Linked DNA regions of Ovis aries. The protein of the gene in region 2 purifies or fractionates together with the protein of the main gene of each other region. This does not show direct contact. Links are inferred from orthologs where the notes say so. Each region holds a gene or a part of one and is shown on either strand. Other genes may lie near its edges. The genes, in order: ERBB2, CD44 and FGFR1.

What was found.
Region 1: the proteins of CD44 (region 2) and ERBB2 purify together in Homo sapiens (affinity purification with western blotting; 3 studies listed by BioGRID and IntAct, with this or other methods). This does not show direct contact. The link is inferred for Ovis aries from reciprocal best matches to the Homo sapiens genes CD44 and ERBB2.
Region 3: the proteins of CD44 (region 2) and FGFR1 purify together in Homo sapiens (affinity purification with mass spectrometry; 3 studies listed by BioGRID and IntAct, counting the BioPlex papers as one, with this or other methods). This does not show direct contact. The link is inferred for Ovis aries from reciprocal best matches to the Homo sapiens genes CD44 and FGFR1.

What each region holds. Positions count from the first base shown.
Region 1 is NC_056064.1:39,830,428-39,837,820, forward strand, and holds part of ERBB2 (receptor tyrosine-protein kinase erbB-2), read left to right. Parts: intron 1-290; coding exon 291-364; intron 365-451; coding exon 452-542; intron 543-788; coding exon 789-988; intron 989-1,365; coding exon 1,366-1,507; intron 1,508-1,597; coding exon 1,598-1,688; intron 1,689-2,267; coding exon 2,268-2,428; intron 2,429-3,411; coding exon 3,412-3,438; intron 3,439-3,850; coding exon 3,851-3,898; intron 3,899-5,472; coding exon 5,473-5,611; intron 5,612-5,693; coding exon 5,694-5,816; intron 5,817-6,106; coding exon 6,107-6,205; intron 6,206-6,466; coding exon 6,467-6,652; intron 6,653-6,770; coding exon 6,771-6,926; intron 6,927-7,018; coding exon 7,019-7,094; intron 7,095-7,393. UniProt on the Homo sapiens protein: Protein tyrosine kinase that is part of several cell surface receptor complexes, but that apparently needs a coreceptor for ligand binding. Essential component of a neuregulin-receptor complex, although neuregulins do not interact with it alone.
Region 2 is NC_056068.1:64,454,902-64,462,745, forward strand, and holds the start of CD44 (CD44 antigen), read left to right. Parts: upstream 1-2,881; 5' UTR 2,882-3,007; coding exon 3,008-3,074; intron 3,075-7,844. UniProt on the Homo sapiens protein: Cell-surface receptor that plays a role in cell-cell interactions, cell adhesion and migration, helping them to sense and respond to changes in the tissue microenvironment.
Region 3 is NC_056079.1:32,643,579-32,650,971, reverse strand, and holds part of FGFR1 (fibroblast growth factor receptor 1), read left to right. Parts: coding exon 1-86; intron 87-2,436; coding exon 2,437-2,581; intron 2,582-4,483; coding exon 4,484-4,687; intron 4,688-5,499; coding exon of another isoform or gene 5,500-5,500; coding exon 5,501-5,645; intron 5,646-5,841; coding exon 5,842-5,963; intron 5,964-6,483; coding exon 6,484-6,594; intron 6,595-7,083; coding exon 7,084-7,274; intron 7,275-7,393. UniProt on the Homo sapiens protein: Tyrosine-protein kinase that acts as a cell-surface receptor for fibroblast growth factors and plays an essential role in the regulation of embryonic development, cell proliferation, differentiation and migration.

The DNA.
Region 1 (7,393 bases), on a different chromosome or scaffold from region 2:
TGCTAAGTTGCTTTTGTTGTGTCCGACTCTGTGCAACCCCATAGACGGCAGCCCACCAGGCTCCCCTGTCTCTGGGATTCTCCAGGCAAGAACACTGGAGTGGGTTGCCATTTCCTTCTCCAATGCGTGAAAGTGAACTCGCTCAGTCGTGTCCAACTCTTAGCGACCCCATGGACTGCAGCCTACCAGGCTCCTCTGTCCATGGGATTTTCCAGGCAAGAGTACTGGAGTGGGGTGCCATTGCCTTTTCCTCCTGGCCCTGCTGACTCCTTCCCTAATCCTTCTTCTAGGGACCCAGACTCTAACATCACCCCACTGCAGGCTGAGCAGCTCAAAGTGTTTGAGTCTCTGGAGGAGATCACAGGTGGGCCCTGTCTCTCTGAAGCCTGCTCTCATGGGGCTGGGGGTTCTCATCCTGGCCCCATACCCTAGCCTCACCCTGTGCCTGCAGGTTACCTGTACATCTCAGCGTGGCCAGACAGCCTGCCTGACCTCAGCGTCTTCCAGAACCTGCGAGTAATCCGGGGACGAGTTCTGCATGAGTGAGCACCAGGGGAGGGGGTCCGTGCTGAGAGAGGAGCTGCCCAGGGAGGCCTGGGAGAAGTTTTGGGTGTATGTATAGTGAAGAGAAGGGGGTTCCTGTTCTCCGAGAACTCCAGCAGCAACCTTTCCATGGGAGTTTGCAGTGTGTGCTGGGGACAGGAGGAAGGCGAGGGCAGTTCTGGCTGATGGGGGTGGTCAGCGGTGCGCTGCCCCCTTGCATTTGAGCACCACCTCCCCTCCCACAGTGGTGCCTACTCGCTGACGCTGCAAGGGCTGGGCATCAGCTGGCTGGGGCTGCGCTCGCTGCGGGAACTGAGCAGCGGGCTGGCCCTCATCCACCGCAACGCCCGCCTCTGCTTCGTACACACGGTGCCCTGGGACCAGCTCTTCCAGAACCCCCACCAGGCTCTGCTCCACAGCGCCAACAGGCCAGAGAATGAGTGCGGTAAGACAGCCCGGTGCTGCATGCTCCGCGTCTGCCAGCGCGCGGGTGCGCCCAGGGGCCTCTGGGGGCAGCAATCTGGGACTTCCCTTGTGCATGTGTACTGCCCGTCCCAGGTGCACCATCGCTGACCCAGCTCTGGCTGGCCTGGCCTCTTGGCGTGGCTTCTAGCTGGGTCCGGCCACACTGCCTTGGCATCCCTCCCCTCCCTTTGCTCTGTTCCTGGAACCTCAGAACTTTCTCCCTGCTGTGCTCGGCAGCTATCCCGCCTCTCTAGCCCAGAGCCACGCCCATAAACCCCGCTCCCACCCCCCACCCCCGCCTCCGTGGGACCTGGGACCTCCCATGAGTCCCCTCTGACCCCTTCCTCCTCACTGCAGTGGGTGAGGGCCTGGCCTGCTACCCACTGTGCGCCCAAGGGCACTGCTGGGGTCCCGGGCCCACCCAGTGCGTCAACTGCAGCCAGTTCCTTCGGGGCCAGGAATGCGTGGAGGAATGCCGAGTACTACAGGGACTACAGGGGTATGCCGGGCGGAGGAGGGGGCGGCCAGGAGGTGGGGGAGGTGCGCAGGGGCTCCTTCCAGACCCCTTCACTGGCTGTGCTCCCCTCAGGCTTCCCCGGGAGTACGTGAAGGACAGGTACTGTCTGCCGTGCCACCCCGAGTGTCTTCCCCAGAATGGCTCAGTGACCTGCTTTGGCTCGGTGAGGTGCTCAGAGCTGAGTGGTGGGAAGCAGGGCGGGGTTGAGGGGTCAGCTGCCAGGGACCTGGCCAAGTCCAGTGAAATATCCCTGGGGAGGGCTCCAAGCCCAGGCCTGAACAGCAGGAGAGTGGAAGGAGGCTGGGATGCTGGGAACGGCAAGAACTGTGGACCCTGAGACCCTTCCGACCATGCAGAAGGCCCAGGGAGGCCTGTGCGCGTGGTTGTGGCAGTGCCAAGGCGCTTAGACCTGGGCGCTCAGGCATCAGATTACCTGGATTCAAATCCAGGTGTCACTTCCAACCTCAGTTGGCTCATTCGTGAAATCAATGTTATGCTAGTACCCACCCCATTAGGATACAGTAAGAATTAACTTAAAATAGGGTTTGGCACTGTGTCTGAGCACCAGGGAGCTGGGTGCAGAACAGGGGCAGCAGACATAGCAGGTCTGGGGCTGTTCCAAAAGCAAGGTGAAAAGTGCTGCTGAGTGGCCATGGGAAGCACCAAGGGGACCCAGGGGCCTGATCTTGCTGCCCCGGGGGTATCAGTGCCAGCCTCCCACAAACCCTTTCTTCCCTCCCAGGAGGCTGACCAATGTGTGGCTTGTGCCCACTACAAGGATCCTCCCTTCTGCGTGGCTCGCTGCCCCAGTGGTGTGAAGCCTGACCTCTCCTTCATGCCCATCTGGAAGTTTCCAGATGAGGAGGGCATATGCCAGCCATGCCCCATCAACTGCACCCACTCGTGAGTCTGAGGGCCTTCCCCATATAAAGAAGGGCTTGTTCCAGGAGACTCTCTGAGGCTCTTATTGTAAAAAGTGGGACATCTCTGCCTTTGCTTACCCCAAGGCCCTTAACATTTTTATCTTTTTTTTTTCCTGATCACAAAAGTAATACATATTGTTAAAATTTTTTAAATTAAAGCATGGATAAATTAATAGTATTAACAGTTCTATTCCACTGTTAATAACTTGCCATATTTTCCCTCCAGTTTATATGTGCACATGCTAACATGTATTATTATATAATATATAAAATATGTTTATATATTATTTTTATTCTCCAATTCTTATCTGTGCACATTCTAGTCTATATTTCTTTTTACAAAAATAGGAGCATAGACCATACCTATTGTTTGCCAATTGCTTTTTCTCACGTAACACTGCAGTTTTTCTTGCAATGCTTTTTCATGTGCTAATATAGTGATCCGCCCTGCTCTTTTTATTTTTTTACTTAGTTGTTTTTGATAACACGTGGAACACGTGCATACATTCTTGTAAGACATATTTTTAGCAGTATCAAAGTAAACAGTGTAAAGCAGAAGTGCCCTTTCTCCCACTGCCCCTCCCCTCCCTGGAGAGAACTACCAGGTCACTCTGGAATGTGCATTCCTCCAGGCTTTTCTGCACATATTTACATAAGTGCATTTTACGTATATGTTACGTTGAGTCATATAAGATTGCTGTTTTTAGAAGTCAAAAATGATCAAGAAACAACAGTTTCATCTAGCTCATCTATTTCTCAGCAATTTATTTGACTCATATACACTTTGCTCCCCCACACCTTCCCCCCTTTATGTATCTTGGAGGTCCTTTCCTGTGAATGCATATCAATCTAACTCCTTTTTTTTTTAACTACTCAATCTGCAGTATGGATGTAGAGTTATTTAGTTGTGTCCCTGCCTGAGAGTACTGACTGAACTTGTTTCCTTTTTTCTCTTTTTGGCAGTTTATTGCACTTGAGCTCCACGTACAAGTGAGCATCTTGTACATGCCCCCTAGTGTACAGGTGTTGGCATTTTCAGGGTTTATCCCCAGAGGTGGAACCGCTGGGAGGACAGGAGGAACTGCGGGAGTTTGCCCGACTACAGTAGTAGTTTACGCTGGCTTCCTCTACAGAGGAGATGGCTAAGCTCTTGAACCCGATGCTCCTTTGGGTGCCACCACTTCCTTCCCACCACAGGGAGGTGCAAATGATATGGGTTTACAGACTGGAGGACTCCCCCGTGGGATGGTAGAAAGAGCCCTGGTGACCTCGAACCCAGTTTCTGCCTTTGTCAAGTGGGGATCCTAACCCAGTCACACCCACCTCCTGGGATCCTGTGAGGCTGGAGTGAGTGCAGGAGGTGGTTCCCAGCCTTGTTGACGGGACTCTCTCTCTCCTGCAGCTGTGTGGACTTGGATGACAAGGGCTGTCCCGCCGAGCAGAGAGCCAGGTCAGCCTGGTCCCCAGAATGCACCCCACATTGCCCTCAGTTCCCCACTGACCCCTGGGTGGTCCCTGCTGCTAGGTGTCATGTCCTGACATGACACGTGTCCTCCCCAGCCCACTCTTCCACTGTGGATGCTTCTTTCAGTTAGCTTCAACTAGGGGATGGAGGGGCTTCCCAGGTGGTGCAGGGGTCAATTGGCCTGCTAGTGCAGGAGACACAAGAGACTGGGGTTCAATCTCTGGGCTGCGAACATCCCCTGGAGTAAGAAATAACGACCTACTCCAGTATTCTTGCCTCGGAAATCCCATGGACAGAGAGGCCTGGCTGGCTACACTCAACGGGGTTGCAGAGAGGTGGACACAACTGGGAGGCTCAGCACATATGCACACACACATGCAGTGGGTGGAAGGCCTGCTCGGCTTGCTTGGGGGTCAGGGGGTAGGAAGACACCCAGCACCTCCCCACCCTCCCTGTATAGCTGGGGGTCTCATAAGGGACACAGGCAGCCTTCAACTCCCTGGGACTCGAGGCACGTTGAGAAGAGAGCATGGCTGCAGCACTGAGGGAGAGACAGTGAATACTTCCCTGGGGTCAGTGGGAGGCTTCAGGCACATGAGCTAGGTTTTGAAAGAGGGGCGCGAAATGTCACTTGTATTAGGAAAGCAACCAGGCAGCATGGTAAGAGGTGTCCAGAAAGTCTAGGATGTATTTGCTGAAGATTCTGCTGTGGTGGGTAACTGACTAAGCACAGAGGAAGGAGTAGGGGGTGAAGTCTGAGTCAGTTCAGGGCCGGATCTGGAGGGCATAGGCTCTCCCCTACCATGAGGCCACAGGCCCTGTGATGTCCATCACTACCATCGCTGGACTTGATTTCTAGGCAGAGGGGTGTTTTGGGAAGGGTTTTAGGGAGAAAAAGATCGGAGTGTGTCCTGAGTAAGCATTTGTCCATGACATAAGGGTCCATTTGAGGTCTGTGATAAGCCAGCCCTTGGCTAAGCAAGGGAGGGGAACAAGGATGACAAGGATGTAGGGTCAGTGCCCAGGAGATCCTTCTATCCTAGGATAAGCAGAGTCTTGAAAGATGACCTCATGCAGAAATGGTGATCCAGGCAGAAGTATTATAACAACGGCTGGGAGATTTGGAAATCGTGACCTATGGGTGAAAATTCTGGCTAGAACATCAGAATCTCTGTGTGCACCTTCCTGGGCCCCACCTCATACCACAGTCAAAGTCTCTGGAGGGTGGAGCTCCGTACTCTCACAGGTTGACAAGAACCCTGGGCTAGAGCCATGGGCAAGAGCATAGACAACTTGGAGATGTAGGTGTAGAGGGTTTTGAATCTTAGCAAGGAGTCTGGACTTTATTTCCCAGACAGTAAGGAGCCAAGATGGATTTTAGAGTAGGTCAGACAGGATGGGAGCCTGTGGGTCACCCTTCTGACTTCCCTTTCCAAATGCCAGTGACAGTCAGCCCCCTCTCCCTCCTCCCCCCACCCCACCGCGCCCCACCGTGGGACCCCTTCATCCCCCCTGCCCCAGACTGGTCCCCAATCCATGATCCTGGCTCCTGCCCCCAGCCCTGTGACATCCATCATTGCCGCTGTGGTGGGCGTTCTGCTGGTTGTCCTTGTGGGGCTGGTGTTCGGCATCCTCATTAAGCGAAGGCGGCAGAAGATCCGGAAGTATACAATGCGGCGGCTGCTGCAGGAGACGGAGGTGAGGCGACCTGAGGGTCTCTCTCGAGCTCTGGGGTCTGCGGCCCAACCTGCAGCACTGACCCACTACCCCCTCACCCCAGCTGGTGGAGCCCCTGACGCCCAGCGGAGCGATGCCCAATCAGGCTCAGATGCGGATCTTAAAAGAGACAGAGCTGAGGAAAGTGAAGGTGCTAGGATCTGGAGCTTTTGGCACCGTCTACAAGGTCAGGGGTGGGGCCAAAGTCCCCGGGTGGGCGGTCCTAGAGGATGCTGCAGGGTGTGGCGGAGGGTGTGCTGGGACAACAGCCAGGAACCGCGGGTGGTGCAGTTGAGTAGGCACTTAAGGATAGGGGATTGGGAGTGGCCAGTGGGTCTAAATGGTGAGGCTGCTGCTAAATAATGGGATTGGCCCAAGGGTTGGGGAGGGAATTGGGAGCACAAGCAGTGACCCCAAGTAGGACGGCTGCAGGTTGATCTGGCCGGTCCTTTTGCTCACATCCTCCTCTCTGCCCAGGGCATCTGGATCCCCGATGGGGAAAATGTGAAAATCCCCGTGGCCATCAAGGTGTTGAGGGAAAACACATCTCCCAAAGCCAACAAGGAAATCTTGGACGTAAGCCCTTCCACCCTGTCCAGCTGGGGGTATGGGGGACTGGGCTCTCTCTCTCTTCACTGGGGTTTTGGGGGACACCCTGTGATTCCCCCAAATGTCTACTCTTACCCTCCCTAGTCTGTGGGCCATGGTTCCGATTTGTGATGAATGGGATTGGGTTGGCGGAGGGCCCGTTATCATGGCTTAGCCCTTGGGAGGGGTGTGTGGTGGTTGGGGGTTAGTGGTTTCCCATACCCTCTCAGTGTGTGCCCTTGTTTCCAGGAAGCATATGTGATGGCTGGTGTAGGCTCCCCATATGTGTCCCGCCTCCTGGGCATCTGCCTGACATCCACAGTGCAGCTGGTGACACAGCTTATGCCCTATGGCTGCCTCCTCGACCACGTCCGAGAACACCGTGGGCGCCTGGGCTCCCAGGACCTGCTGAACTGGTGTGTGCAGATTGCCAAGGTATGCACTTTGGGGGCCAGGGCTCTGCAGGTGCCCTTGGGGAGCAAGCCTCTGGATAGGGAGGTTTCCTGGGAGAGTTTTGGCAGAGCGAGGTCCACACTGATGCCTCTGACCCCAGGGGATGAGCTACTTGGAGGATGTGCGGCTCGTGCATAGGGACCTGGCTGCCCGGAACGTGCTGGTCAAGAGTCCCAACCATGTGAAGATTACAGACTTCGGGCTAGCGCGACTGCTAGACATTGACGAGACAGAGTACCACGCAGATGGGGGCAAGGTTAGAGGAGCAAACCGAAACAAGGGGGAGTGGGGTCTGGCCCCTGGGAGAACTCAGACCTGGTTGGAGGACTTCCTTCTCTGCTCTACCAGGTGCCCATCAAGTGGATGGCATTGGAGTCCATTCTCCGCCGGCGGTTCACCCACCAGAGTGACGTGTGGAGCTATGGTGTGTGATGGAGTGGGTAGGGAGGGTGGACAAGGAGCCATGGCCCTGGGGAGAATGTGGGTGGAAGGATGGGGTGAACTGATAGACACCTTTGGTATAAATGTGAGAAGGAAGGAAGTGGCTGCCAGTGCCTCAGGCTGCCAGAGTGTGTGTGCTTCCCAGGGACTGGGAAAAGACCAAGTTATCTCCTGTCCTTTGGCATTGCATCTTTCCTCCTTCCCCCATGGTGCCAGGCTCTTCGGCAGAGCCTCTGAGGCTCCGTACACTAAAGCTGCCTCTGGTCCTCCCACCCCATCTAT
Region 2 (7,844 bases):
TTGCGTGAAGTCAAATTCTTTGTCAAAATGAAATCTCATTCAGCAGTCTAGTGTATAACATTGATGCCAGAGGGAGCTCTGTGGCTGGGATGGGGACTCTAGTGGGGGAGGCATGCTGCTGCTGCTGCTAAGTCGCTTCAGTCGTGTCCAACTCTGTGCGACCCCAAAGATGGCAGCCCACCAGGCTCCTCTATCCTGGGGATTCTCCAGGCAAGAATACTGGAGTGGGTTGCCATTTCCTTCTCCCATGGGGGAGGCATAGCCCACACCTAAGCCTTTGCTTTGATCCCTGTGTATGTTTCTGAGGAGTCTCCAAGGAAATACCTAGTTCCATGCATGGAACAGAAAGACAAACATTGTTTCCAGTCTTTCTAGTGACTACAAATATCCATTCCACTTTCCCCCTCTTCTCCAAAACAAAACAAACAAGAAAAAAAGCTGAAAACCCTGGAAGTGACACAAAACAGCCACGGTCATTCCTTGTCCAGTGTTCTCTCCACGAAACTCACCAGGGCTGGTTTCTCACGTGATCAGAGCCTGAAGATCTGCCTGGAAGCCAGTTTGCCCCCAGTTGCTGAAGGAAAGTGTCCTCTTGGTCACAGATGGCTCGGCCAAGTCAGCTACTATTGTAGCGTTTATCAGCATACCTGTTGGTCAAGTGGGGCTCTTTGTTTCAGACGGGCCACCCCTTTGGACGTGGAATGTCAGCCACTGAGCAGCTGGGGAACAGTAAGTCCAGCGATCTTTCAGCTCCAAATACTCTCCCTGAAAATGCAAGAGGAACAGCCCCTAGTCAAGCAGGCTCTTCCCAACTCAAAACTCACACTGAACTACATAGCATTTGTTCTAAATGTTTGTCTCCCTGCAAGTTCATATGTTGAAATCTTAACTTCCAGTGTGAGGCTATTAGGAGGTGGGGCTTTTGAGAGGTAGTTTAGGTCATGTGAGTGGAGCTCCCGTGAATGGGATTAGTGCCTTTATAAGCAGATGCACACAAGAGAGCTTGTCCTCTCTCTCGCCCTCCATCCCCTTCTCTCCCTCTTGTGAGGACAGGACAGGACAGAGAAGATGACTCTCTGCAAACCAGAAGAGTGTTCTCACCAGAACCGGACCATACTGGCACCCTGATCGTGGACTTCTCAGCTTCCAGAACTGTGAGAAATAAATCGGTCATTTAAGCCACCCAGTCTATAGTACTTTGTTATGGCAGCCTGAACTAAAGCAGTAGGGATGGCTGCACAATTTCATGACTGCATGAAAAGCTACCTAATGGCTAAAATGTTAAATTTTCTATTAGGTGTATTTTAGTACAACAACAGCAACAGCAAAGTAAACTTTCATTGACTTCCTGTTTCTTAGGGATCAAGCTCAAACTTCCTAGTATAATTTACAAACTGGCCCCTGCTTACCCCCTAGCCTCATATCTTGCTGTCCTCCTTCAATCTTTTTATCTGATCAAATGTTCCAATTGCTCTCCAAAATAAAAAAGTGGTTACTTTGCTTTAAAAATGCTGGCAAGGCTCTTTCAGGGTCTCTTCACAGTTTCTGGTATCAGATTCAGTAGTCCAAGTTAGCAATAAATGCTGCACTTGCTTTTCAAATATTGTATCACAATGTTACAGATAGATATGGAATTATAGTGCAAAGTATGATTTTTTCAAACTCAAAATGAGGAATATGACAATCTCCTCCCTTTTCTGAGATTTGCTGAGTAGAATAGATTAGGATAGAAAGTGGATTAATATTCATGTAGATAGGAATATAAACGGGACCAAGAAAGAAGGGATCGATGTGTGGGTGGGTGAGAGGAGGGGTAAAATGATGAATGGATATGTAGATGATGGATGGATGGATGGATAGATAATGTGTGAGTACATGTATGAACAGATATGTGGGTATGGATGGATGGAGGGGAGAATAGTATATAGATGGATGTGGCTTTACAAAGAGATGTGAAAAGATTAATAGATGGATGAGAAGTTGTATGGGAGGGTGGTTGGAAGAAGATGTGGTTGATGGATGGGTAGACAGAATGGCTGGACAGGAGGCTGGGTGCATGTCAGTGCATACCGATGGACAGGAGGGTAAATAGATGTGTGAGCCCTGGAGAGACACAAGATAAAATGGGTAGATAGAGGAACCCGTGGGTGTTTGGGAGGATGAGTGAGAGTGTGAGTAAGCCAAGGAGGAATGGATAGACGGAACCAGGTGCCAGCCTGGGACCGGAAGATGATGTACAGGTCAGTAGAGCCAAATACCAGCCCCGTGGCTGGCTACCATTAGCTTTCCCTGAGCAGTCCTGCTAAGAATCAAAAGTCCACCCGAAGCGTGTTAATGAACTCCCTTCTCTTTCAAGGGAAGGTCGACGAGCTCTTCCTCCCTTCCCTGGAAGAATCGCAAGCTCCCGACCATGCGCAGGGGAAAACCACACTTCCACGGTCCCAGCCCCTCTCCCAGAATATCCAGCTGCCTGTGAAACCCACAGAGAAGAGTTCCCCAGCCTGAGTCAAAAGAGAAACTTCGCGGAGGGGAGAGGCCAGAGGCTGAACCCAAAGGGGCGAGGTTTCAGGACTCAGTTATTCCCTCCTGCGTCCAGAGGCTGCGCTCCCAGCCGCCAGGAGAGAAAAGTCGGTGCGTCCTGGGTGCACGGGGACCCCCTCGGCCCTCCGGGGTGCGCGCCCAGACACCCCGCTTTATTATCTCGGGGGAGAACGGGGCGGGGGCGGAGGGGCCAGGGCTAAGGAGAGCTGGTACGTCTTTAAACTTCTGCGGGCTGCTTAGTCACAGCCCCCTCGCTTGGGTGTGTCCTCCCTCGCTCCCTCCCTCTTAGGTCACTCTCAACCCTCGAATAAAAACTGCACCCAACTTCCGAGGCGCCCTCATTGCCAGCCGGACCCCAGCCTCCGACAGGTTCGGGCGCCCTGCTTGCCCCGTGCTTCGCCGGCCCCCGCCCAGCGCCCGGCCCCTCCGGCTCCACTCCGCTCGCTCGGTCGGTCGCTCCGACGCCATGGACACGTTTTGGTGGCGCGCAGCTTGGGGACTCTGCCTCGTGCAGCTGAGCCTGGCGCAGATCGGTGAGTGCCCGCCCGGACGGGAGGGAGTGGCCCGGACCCAGCCGGGCGGGCTCCGTTGGCCCTGGCGGGGTCGGGGTCAAGTGGGCGGCGAGCGGCTGGGATTTGGCGAAGGAGGACCGGGCGAGGATTTGCGCTAAGCTCTTGGAGAGCCTGTCGTTGGGAAGCACCGTTTTGTGGAACGGCAAAAAGAAAGGGCGCAGAAAAGTTTGCTGGGCAGCAGGCTGTTGGCGCGCGGTTTGGGGTGGGGTGGTTGGAGCCGGTGGAGCACAAGGAACTGTACTCCTGGGTGCGCGCAGCCTGTCTGGACTAACACACTCCTGTGCCCAAGGGCACTTCAAGCCAGGCTGCGCAGGGCAGGGACAGGGGCTGGGGTAGGGACAGGGGTGCTAGCGAGGTGGCCATAGAGGTGGGCACTGTTGCCCTCTGTGAGGGTTGGTGGCAACAAGCTTCCCAGAATGGGGTCCCGCGTTCCTGTGGCTCTCCCATTTCACCTAGGTTCCAAAGCTCTTACAGTTGGCTCCAGTCACGAACAATCTTAACGCTTGTGGGAACTTGAACCTTCTCTGTGGCAAGGTTCTGGGTCGCCACGAGGTGCCAGCCTGGGGCAGGGAGTGTGAGTAGGATAGGCAGTGACTCGGCCAGCTGCTCCATCCTGGCAACCTCCTGCAGGCTGCCAATCAGTTAGGGGAAATCCAGACAGTCATGTGGCTCCCAGTGGGTGCCTGGCAGCCTCGGAGCAGGACAGAGAAGCAGGCTCCTGGGTGGCATCAGGGATCCCGGCGCCTGTATCCCATCCCCACAGGGTCCGTTCTTCTCAGGGGCTGTCGAGGGGGTGGCTGCGTGTGAGGTATTCTGGCAAGGCTGAACTCCAAGCATTCCTTTTCTTTGTCTTTATATGTGCAGATAATTACATGGCTGATTTGCTTATCGCTAGCAAAATTAATTTTTCTTTTAAGAAGTGCCAGCTGGGTCATTAAGACAGCTCAACCTATGGTTAATTCTACTCAGCAAGTGTTTATTAAACCCAGCTCTGGGGGTACCAGGAAAGTAAGAGACACAGTCCTACCGGGGTACTTTAGACTGAGAGGATAAGTGAGGGTCTAGGATTTAGATTCCTGAATCAGAAAAGTAATAATTAATAATAATAATTAACAGTAATCATAATGGCAGCACCAGCCACCATTTATTATACATTTGGGCTGGGCCAGGCACTGTGCTAAATTCTTTACACGCGTTATCTCGTTTTACCCTCAACAATGGCCCACTGAGAAGTGTCCTGTCGTTAGCCCCGTTTTGCAGGAGGGCAGCAAACCGAAGCTCAGAGAGCTTAAGTGACTTGTCTGTGTTCACACAGTCAGAAGACTGCTGGTTCTGTGAACCAAGCTTCTTTGCCTGTTGCTTGGTTAGCACTGGTTAAGCTGCATGTATGATATGGACAAACAGCAGCGTGATATGGACAAACTCAGAAAGGATTTTATGAAGGAGGTGGTGGACCAGAGGCTTTAGAGGAGGCTTTCAAAGGGGAACTGGAGCTCCAGGGATCTCTTGAAAGGCAGAGAGACTTGGGATGGGAGAGAGCAGGGAAAGATTTCAGGGAGAGCTGTGAGCCTGGCCTCAGGGAAGAGGAACCAGGCTGGTGTCTCTCTCTGTCTCTCTCTGTCTCTCTCTGTCTCTCTCTCTCTCTCTCTCTCTCTCTCTCTCTCTCTCTCGCCTATAAGGAAGTCCATTTGTATGTTACCTCCCTGGGGCATCTTCTGCTTTGCTTCTGAGGATTTCGACTCCTGACTCCTTCCATCCTGTAGCGCAAATTCTTCTAAAGGGCCCCATCCCCTGATATTTGGCACTGTCCTGACCCTTGAAGTTCCTCCCTTCCCCCCAGATGGGCAGGCTTACTCCTGCTCTGGGTTTCCGTGGTCCCTTTGGGGAGCGTCATTTGGAGGAAGCGCAAAAAAATGCCAGTAGCGATAGCTGCCTGGGCCCAGGCTTTCATGCACTTGTTAAGCTCTTTGGAAGGAACTGAGACTTGGGAAGGAGATGTGAGTTAACAGTGGGCTCGGGCTGGGCTGGCAGAGAGAGGAAGGACAAAGAGGAGGCGGGAAGACTCTTCTGGTGCCCCACCAGCGAAGGTGGTGGGCTCCAGAGGACAATGTGGACATTTCAGCAAGTGGCAAGGCTTTGGGGAGGAAGAAAGGGTCTGATCTTCATACTGAAAAGCAAGAAGTAGAGACATAGCCAAATACAATTAAGCAGCGTTGGACCCAAACTCTAAGTTGGAGAACAGATCTGTTGAACTACATTTCACACGTGGAAGGACGAAAGTAACCCTGGATAAAGAGCAGTGAAGTGAGCCCTCTATACCTGCCTGCCTCCTGTCCTCTGTGGGTGAGAGGTCCTTGCTAGAGAATTGTGCCCCTGGTGTTTAGAAAGAGGGGTGCAGCTAAGAGCTCTGGGGCTTTGGGGGTGGCTGGCACCCTTCTGATCCCTCTGAGCCTTAGAGACCCCTCTTTCTGGGAGTTAGACTTTTGGCTGTGTTTTCCCAGGAGAAGCAGCAACGAAGCCAACCTCCATTCCCGCTGAGGTTGGTTAGCATCAGTTAATTCAGTTGTTCCCCAGATACACAATGGCCATCTTCCTTCCTACAAAGGCACAGTGCCAAGTAGGTGTGTTTGAGTTTTGCAGCCAGTAGAAAAAGTTTCCGTTCTTTTTCCAGTTTGGCCCACGCAATTTGGAGAGGCTGCAGGGCAGTGTGAAATTCTTAGTTTATGACAGATCCCTTTCCACTCATTCAAGAAATATTTCTTGACTCACTATTGTAGATTCAGAGATGGGGACTCCAAGAATCATTTAGAAAAACCCTTTCTTTTTCCCAAGGAGGAAACAGGTCCCCAAAGAGAGAAAGGTGACTTCCCCTGTCTCTCAGGCCGAGTGTTAGCACAGGACGCTTTCCAAACCTCAGGGCTCTGAAATACCTTAATCCTCCAGGACTGAGCCCACTGCTTACAGTGGGTGGGGAATGTGTGGTCTACAGAGGTAGCAACGTTTGTTTCACACCTTTAGTTGCTGTCTTAAACACTCGATACAATTTTATATTTTCCTCCACAGTATACCCAGTTTGAGTTTAACCTAAGAATAAAGATGATAACTTTCTTCTTATCAAGCAAAGTGGCTGCTTGGGGTAGAGCCTCTGTACTGTCCAGAGCCTCCTGGGGTGTTGCTGAATCCCTCTCAGTTAGCAGCATTCCAGCTTTAAAAGCCTGACACTCGGTTCCTCTATGAAGTAGGGTCCTAAATCTGCAGGCAATACCATTTACCGAGCGCTGACCCTGGTGGCTCAGTGGTAAAGAATCTGCCAGCAAGGCAGGAGACCCAGCAGATGTGGGTTCAATCCCTGGCTCAGAAAGATCCCCTGGAGGAGGAAATGGCAACCCACTCCAGTATTTCTGCCTGGAAAATCCCATGGATGGAGGAGCCTGGAGGGCTTCACAGTTCATGGGGTCACAAAGAGTCGGACGCAACTGAGCACGCATGCACACAGCTTCATACGAGGCATTCAGCCATGGGCTTTGAACAGGTTATCCTATATAAGCTTCACAACAGCCCTGTGTGTGTTTAGCAATCTTTTCATTCCATTTTCCAGATAAAGAAGTTGAGAGGCTCAGGGAGATGGAATGACTTGCCCGAGGACACACAGCTAGTATGAGTGATGGAGTTGGGGTCCTCTGTTGTCTCACATCCTCTGTGTTAAGACTCCAGTGCCTGTGTTGCTTTGATTCATTATTTGCCTCTGGAGGACTCTGGAAATTGTGTGAGGCCAGCAAAAGTGAAGCCTGGGATGAGTGGCTTTCCTCTTCCCTGGCAGGCTGAGAACTCTTGGCTGCCCTGCTCTGCCCTGGCCTGTCTCTCTCCAGTCCTGGCCACAGCTGTCGAGAGATGCCAACCTAGCTATTTGTTACTAAAATAAGTCAATTCCCTTATCAGAGTCCAGCTGCCCTTCCAGACATGCTCTCATTTGCAGGCTTGGAAAAAAGGGAGAGGCTGTTGCTTGTCTAAGAGACAAGTCAGGGCAAGGCTTTCTGCCTGGAAACGGAAAAAAAAAAGGGGGGGGTCCTTGCAGAGGCTCTGACCCTGCAGACATTCTAGGTGCGATGACCCAGGAAGCCCCCTTGTTACATGGTCAGTGGAAACCCTCAGCGTTTAGCAGGTTGTGTGTGCCCCAGTGAGGAGGAGTGTCGAGAACCCGGGCGATGGGCTGATACGGTTTCTTGAAAAGGCAGGGATCTTGAACGGAATGTCAGTGTGGGGTGCGATGTGACACGTGACCACTCAAGTGAGATTTCAGTTTGGCCTTGAGTGTCAGACGGTTCCAGGTGGGGAGTCCCTGATGAAGAGGAGGTTGTGAGAGGGAAGTGGGCCTCCCCCGGCCACCCATCCTGGCTGGGATGGGGGCTGAGTTACAGGCTACCCTTGTATTTCCCCTGCACCTCTTTTTAGTTGACTCCACCAAGAGACTGAAAGGGAAGTGGGTCTTGTGAAAGAATGAACTGAAGCAGGTGGCAAATCCCGCCAGACCGAGTGGAGTTCTCAAAGGGGATCTTTTCTGCTTCAGAGAGAATGTCTGAGGGGTTGCACAGCCAGATGCTGATGACTCAATTTCCTTTGTGTCTTTGCTTCAATGGGAAACACACCAGTGTTCTCTAGACTCGCCAGGGGAGGCTAATGCCTTCAACCTTAAGTTGGAACGCCACTCTTAATCCCTTAGCAAGTTAATAT
Region 3 (7,393 bases), on a different chromosome or scaffold from region 2:
AGCCCCACATCCAGTGGCTGAAGCACATCGAGGTGAACGGGAGTAAGATTGGGCCGGACAACCTGCCTTATGTCCAGATCTTGAAGGTAATCCTGGCTCCGGTCTCCGTGGGCTGGGCTCGGGGAAGGAGGCCTGTATCTCCTGGGGCCCAGGTGGCTGGGGTCCGGCTCAGTCCCTGCGATCGGGCCCCGGTCCTTCTGCTGGGTCCAGGCTCCATCTTACGTGGGCCCCTGGCCACTTTCCAAAGGACCAGTGGCAGGTCATGGGTGAAGGCTCGTAGGATGCTGAGGGCTGGGGGTGAGCACTGCTGGCTTCTAAAGAGCTTGGACGGTGACCGTACCCAGGCTTTCAGGTCAGCTTCTCTGGGAAGGCATTGGCACTCTGCTCTCCCACTGCCCACCACCACAGCCTTCCCAGCAAGCATCTGCTAGTCTCTGCCCTGCTTCCTGAGTCACATCCTTTCTGGCACGTGGGCTGATGCCAGGCACGGTTTAGCTTAGGTAGGGCTGGAAAAGCTGAGGCCATGGGTCAGTCCTCAGCGGTTTCAGGAGTAATGGCACTTTCTTTTTTCCTCCCACTCCCAGACTTCGAATGTCCCTGAATGCTCCATTAATCCAGGGAAGCTAATTGCCTAATTCTCCAGTGGATCTTGCAACAGGAAGTAACCAGAAGCTGGGAACCTGCTTTCCCTCCTGGTCCCAGCCTTAGACCTCCTCCTCCCTGGCTTGGCTGTTCCAAAGATTTCCCAGCCAGCCACCACGCGCCTCACCTTGGGCACTGAAACTGCCATGTAGGAAGTGGGCCCAGGGCCTTGGACCTTGGCTGCTGTCTCCATTGGCAATCTCTGCCCTCTTCCTGGAGGAGGGGGTTTAACACAAATGAAACATTTGCTTGGGGCAATGATTTTTTTCATTCAGTTTGTTTTTCAGTCACATGGATTTTTAAAGTCCACTTTTTTATCCTGCTAATGAGGGAAAGAGGATAAGCGTCACCTCAGCCTCTTGCCTTAGCTCCTGGGCCCACCTTAACACCGCACGGGAGCAAATACGGCCACATCTCTGTGTTGGCCCAACTGACAGCATGTCGTTGGTCTGTTCCAGCATTCGGGGATAAATAGCTCGGATGCGGAGGTCCTGACCCTGTTCAATGTGACAGAGGCCCAGAGCGGGGAGTATGTGTGTAAGGTTTCCAATTATATTGGTGAAGCTAACCAGTCTGCGTGGCTCACAGTCACCAGACCTGTGGCAAAAGGTAATGGGGAGCTGGAGGGGCCCTTGTGCTGGGGGTTGATGGAGGCCCCGAGCTGCCAGGGCAGCTGTGGGGAGGCCAGCGCCCCACTCTCCCTGTGAGCCTGCTGTTTCTAGTGCCCGGAGCCATGGAAAAATACCCGGCCTGGGCGGCTGGATTGGTTCGGTTCTGTGTTGGTGTCACCCCTCTGTGCCTTGTGTGTGTTCTTGGCTGCGTGTGGGGTGCGTCCTGGGTGATCCTGGAGACTGAGGGTCCGAGTGATGGAGAGGAGAGAGGACCAGCGTCTATAGCGATGTGTGTGTGGGGGGAATGTGGGTGTGTGTGTATGGGATGGGGGGGTATGTGTGTGGGAGGGTATTTGTGTGGGTGTGAGTGTGGGGGGTGAGTGTGTGTGTGGGGTGTGTGTGTGTGTGTGTGTGTGACTGGGGAGGTGTGGGTGTGGGGGGGGGCTGTGTGTATGTGTGGGGGGTGGGGGGTATTTGTGTGGTGGTGAGTGTGGGGGGTGAGAGTGTGTGGGGGGTGTGTGTGTGACTGAGGAGTTGTGTTTGGGGGTATGTGTGTGGTGGGGGTATATGTGTGTGTGGGGTATTTGTGTGGGTGAGTGTGGGGGGGTGAGAGTGTGAGGGAGTGAGAATGTGTGGGGGGGCTGTGTCAGTGTGTGTGTGGGGTGTGTGAGTGTGTGGGATGTGGGGGGGTATGTGTGTGGGTGAGTGTGTGTGTGGGGTGTGTTTGTCTGAGGGTGTAGGATGGGGGTATTTGTGTGGGTGTGAGGGTGTGTGTGTGGTGGTGAGTACGGGTATGAGTGTCTGTGTGAGGCTGCAGCCAGCCCCCTCTGTTCCTCCTGTGTGTCCCCTCTGGAAACCAAACAGCCCCCGCGCCGGCCCATTTCTCCATGCGCTCGCGCCGCATGCGGGGCTGGGCCGGGGCTGCTGCGCCTGGTGACGGGTGTAACCAGCCATCCGCGTTGCGCCGTCAGGTCTGCCGAGTTCCTCCTCAGGCTCTCACCCTCTTCCTCTAACAGGTTTCTCGCTGCCTGGTGATTTTTGTCTGTCCGTTGTTGCAAAGGAGACGCTGGGGAACCTTTCTTCCTCTGGTTATTTTTTTCTTCCCCCTTTCCTCCTCCTCGTTCCCTCTCTGAGAGGTCTCCGGTCCCGGGCTTGTCCATGTGGCTTCCGTTGTCTCTTCTAGACGGCCGGAGTTAACACCACCGACAAAGAGATGGAGGTGCTGCACTTAAGGAATGTCTCCTTTGAGGACGCGGGGGAGTATACATGCTTGGCGGGTAACTCTATCGGACTCTCCCATCACTCTGCATGGCTGACCGTTCTGGAAGGTATACACTGTCCTCCTCCTCTCGATGTCCTGCCCTCGCCAGGGCCACGGGGGGAGCATGCATCGCAGGGTCGGGGGAGACACAGAGCCGGGCTCCATACGCAGCACGCGGCTCCAGCAAGTCATCCGGCCTGTCATCTGGCCTCATGGATCAAACCTTCTCAGCTCACCCCGGAGTCTTCCTCCTGGTGCAGGATCTCAGATTGCTCTCACTTGTGGGCCTGCCTCCGTCTCTCCCCCGGGTTGGAGCGATACATGCATGGGGTCTGGATCTAACCTGCAGCTGGGCTCTCCTTCAGGGCAGGCTCCTTCCCTCCTCGCGTCCAGCAGTCTTGCTTTATTGCCAGCCCCCGAAGTCTCCGAGAGGCTCCCCCTGTAACTGAATATAGGTGCTCTGAAGGGAGGGGCTTGCCGCTTGGAAGCACCAATGCTCTCCACCTTCCCCCTTGCTGATCTCGGTGGGCGAGGTTCCTCCAGACCCAGACAGAGGACTTGAGCGGCTTTGAGCGAGTCCTTTCCCAGGCAGCGCAGGGGGCTCGATGGTGCCCGTTTATCCTCTTTGGCTCCCAGTGCAGCTCCTCTCCAGAGGGGGCTGTGGAGGTAGGGCCAGGAAGGCAGGAGCCTGCAGCCTGTGCAGGGTGGTGGGCTGGCGGCCTCGGGGCTGGAGCTGGGCGCGGCGCTGCTCATCCTGGGACTCTGGTCTCTTTCCTCATCCCTCTCGTCCTCTGATAACGCACGCCCACTGGAGGCGCGGAAGCATTTTCTGCTTTTTTCATCACTGTCTTTGTACTGTGTTGTGTGCCTCCCAGTGGATGGTCTCTGTTTCTCCACGCTGGGGAAAGAGAAAAACAGAAACGCTTCTCCGTTATCAGCTCTGCCGTCCCTTGTCGCACCTTGGGGAGTTCTTTGGGCTGGTTTGGGGTCATGCCTGGGGCCTCCTGGGGGAGGTCCTCGGGGTGCTGGCCCCTGTGGCCAGCGGGGGTCTTTAATAGGGGAGGGGTGGGGGAAGGGATGTCCTGCTGGATGGGACCCTCTCCACCTCCGTGCGAGAGGGAAAGAGGCTTGAGTTGCCTGGGCTTCAGTGAGGGTGGGAGGCGGGAGAGTCTGAATGGAGAAATGAATAAAACCCTCTCCCTGACTTTGCTCAGTGTGAGGCGTTAGACCTGTGAGTGGAAGTCTTAAGAGATGTTTCCATGTTTATCTGTAATAATCCAGACATTTGCAAGCGAAGTTCTGTCTGCAGTTTGGCTAGGTATAGACGTTTTCATGTCTGACCTGATATAGATGACATAGGCAAAGCTGAGCAATGAAGTCGGGACATATGCTGGTTTTCTTCTTTCCTCCCTGCATCATTGTCTTTGCGTTATGAGTGCCACTGGATGCCAGGCGCTGTGGCCTGCAGACATGGATGAGGTGCCACCTGGGCCCTCGGGGTACCCCTGGGCCATCAGTAATGGAAGACCAACGGATCGTTCGCTGTCCCATGATAGGTGTTGACCCAGTGCTCGGGCATTGTGGAGGAGGGCCGTGTGTCCATGGGAACACTGAGTGGCATCTAGCGTGCATGAGTGCTCAGCTGTCTCTTGCAGGGCACCAAGTACCCATCCAGTCCAGCAGTCCCTGAGCCAGCAGGGCTCCTGAGTTCATGGGCATGGGATTCGGCTAGCAAGATACAGTCCATCCCTCTGGGGATTCAAGTCAGGGTCAGGGAGCCTCACAGATCCCAGGATGTCTGCTGTGTGCTGTGTCAGGACCCCAATCCCATCTAGGACCTAGCTCAGTTTGTCTCTAACCCAAAGACTCCCAGAGTTTAGGAGATGGATGTTGAGTTTCTTAGGGAGCCGGGACCCTAGTGGACCAGCCCTGCCCTGAGCCCACTAACGTCCTGTTCACGCTGACCCAGCCCTGGAAGAGAGACCGGCGGTGATGACCTCGCCGCTGTACCTGGAGATCATCATCTACTGCACGGGGGCCTTCCTCATCTCCTGCATGGTGGGCTCTGTCATCATCTACAAGATGAAGAGCGGCACAAAGAAGAGTGACTTCCACAGCCAGATGGCCGTGCACAAGCTAGCCAAGAGCATCCCTCTGCGCAGACAGGTAACAGAAAGTAGACGGGGGGTTCGCATGCTCTGCCTCACCCTGTGCGTCCTCCCTGCACCCCAGAGGGGTCTGCGGGACCTGCCACAGGGTCCCTACTTCAGACTTTGGTGTCCGGCTTCCGGGTGGCAGCAGGAGAGTGTCCTAAGTGCTTGGGGTCAGGCTCCAAGTTCTTCTGGCCGATGAATCCTGTGAGCCCATCTTACCTCAACCACAGTACCCTGCTCAGCCAGCCTGGGGACTGGGAGATGGTCCTCACTGGACTGAATGCCCAGCTCATATTATGAATCTGAGCTTCCCCTGAGGGCCCATTAGGGATGCAAAGGTGCAGAGGAGAGGAGCTGAGCTGGGTCCCAAGATGCCATCTCGCTCCTGTGCGCCCACCTCCCATCCCAGGAGATGGAACAGAGGGTGAAGGTGTGTGAAATGAGAAAAGGAGGCAGGCTTCGCTCTGAGCCATGCTAATTCTGGAAGGGGCTTCGGGAGTCAGGAACCCCCCATCCACAGCAGGGTTTTCACATAAGAATGAGGACAGGAAGAGAGTTGCTCTTGCAGTGACAAGTTACAGAATGTCAGGCTGTCACACTCATGTGAAAGGTGAGTAATCCAAAACCCAGAAAGGAGTTGGTGGCAAACATAAGTCAGTGTTAGAACCTCGTTCTTCCGACCTCCTGTGGCCTTTCTGCCTGTGTTGGGGAGGGAGCACCGGATGCCAGGTCCACACCTCTAACTTTAGCAACAAGGCCTGAGCGGGGAGGGAAGGGACCTGCCGCTGCTCCCCTGTCCCTTCTGGAAGGGTGACCCCACGCCTCCCTGCAGGTGTCAGCCGACTCCAGCGCGTCCATGAACTCCGGGGTCTTGCTGGTTCGGCCCTCGCGTCTCTCCTCCAGCGGCACCCCTATGCTGGCCGGGGTATCTGAATATGAGCTTCCTGAAGACCCTCGCTGGGAGCTGCCTCGGGACAGGTAACCGCCCCCAGCCCCCCCAGCTCGTTATTCTAACGGGGGCAGTGGTGTGGGCTCAGACCTTCAGGGGAGCATCCAGAAGTGACTGCCACTGTCTGCTCTTAGTCAAAGGAACTGGAGGCGGAGGGGGAGTGGGGGTTCCTGTCAGGTTTGAACATTACCACCCTAGCTTATCCCACCCTTTGTTTCCCTGAAGACTGGTTTTAGGCAAGCCACTGGGAGAGGGCTGCTTTGGGCAGGTGGTGTTGGCGGAGGCCATCGGGCTGGACAAGGACAAACCCAACCGTGTGACCAAAGTGGCCGTGAAGATGCTAAAGTGTATGTGGTGCCTGTGTCCCTGCAGAAACGACCCCCTTCCCTTTCCAAGCAAACTCTGGGCCTCAGGCTATTACCTGCACCTGCTCCACAGCCTGCTTAGGTTGTCCTGGAGTTGGGGGGCATTGCACACCCCGCCATCTCACCATGACCTCACTTTGTTCCTTGGCGTCTGTCATCAGTTGGTGACCCCAGATCTTTTTTTTTTTTTGGCAACACTGGCAGCTCTCGTAAGAGGGAAGGGGAGATAAATTTGGATGTGAAAAGGAGAGAGGAGGGACTTCTGGCAGTCAAGCGGTTAAGTCTCTGCACTTGCTCTGCAGAGGAGATCCCACATGCCCTGTGGTGCCGCCAAAAGAAAAAAAAAAAAGCCAAGGACCGGGGGCGCATAAAGAGAGAAGCAAGTCCCAGAGGAAAGGGACCCCTGGGTGTTTACCTCATCCCCCTCCCTTAGTTTTTGTCCTGTAGGCCTTCCTTCCGACACAAGTGCTTCTCCATCCCTTTCTCTGCTTTGTCCACGCAGCGGATGCAACAGAGAAAGACCTGTCGGACCTGATCTCTGAGATGGAGATGATGAAGATGATTGGGAAACACAAGAACATCATCAACCTGCTGGGGGCCTGCACACAGGACGGTGGGCACCTCGCCTGTGGGATTCCACCCATTGCGGGGAAGGGCTTAGGCAGGCACTCAGGCTGCTGCCATCTGTCTGTCAGGGAGAAGATGCCTAGCTGGGACGTCAGGGATTGGGCATCTCTTAGCCACAATGAGGGAAGCGGGTTGGGGGAGAGGCCGGTTTAGCTATAGTCAGAATGTGTTTCTTGGGGTCTGGCCCGATGCCCATGGGGGTTCATCTGCGAGTCCAGGCACCTGGATCCACGCAAACCATGTGGCCAGAACAGGTGACTTGCTGCGGTCGAGGTCAGGGCTCTGGCCCCAGCTTTGCTTGGGAATGTCCTGGACTAGGCTGAGAAGAATGACTGCCCTTGCTTTCTTTGGGGAGTGAGATGAATTTCTGGGTTTGGGGAACACGCTCGCGATGTGCCTTGGGGTTCCTCCGGGCGAGACTCAGCACGTGCAGCTGCCCAGCAGCCCTGACAGCCTCTCCACGCTGTGTCCCCAGGTCCCCTGTACGTCATCGTGGAGTACGCCTCCAAGGGCAACCTCCGAGAGTACCTGCAGGCCCGGAGGCCGCCAGGGCTGGAGTACTGCTACAACCCCAGCCATCACCCCGAGGAGCAGCTCTCCTCCAAAGACCTGGTGTCCTGTGCCTACCAGGTGGCCCGAGGCATGGAGTATCTTGCCTCCAAGAAGGTGTGGCTCCTGACGGCTCCCCTGGGTAGCATGGGACCCCGGGGGGTGGCGGGAACATCAGAGCCAGGAGACCTACGTGGCCTTGAGGCCTTGGGATTGGGCTGGACCAGTGTGAAGTT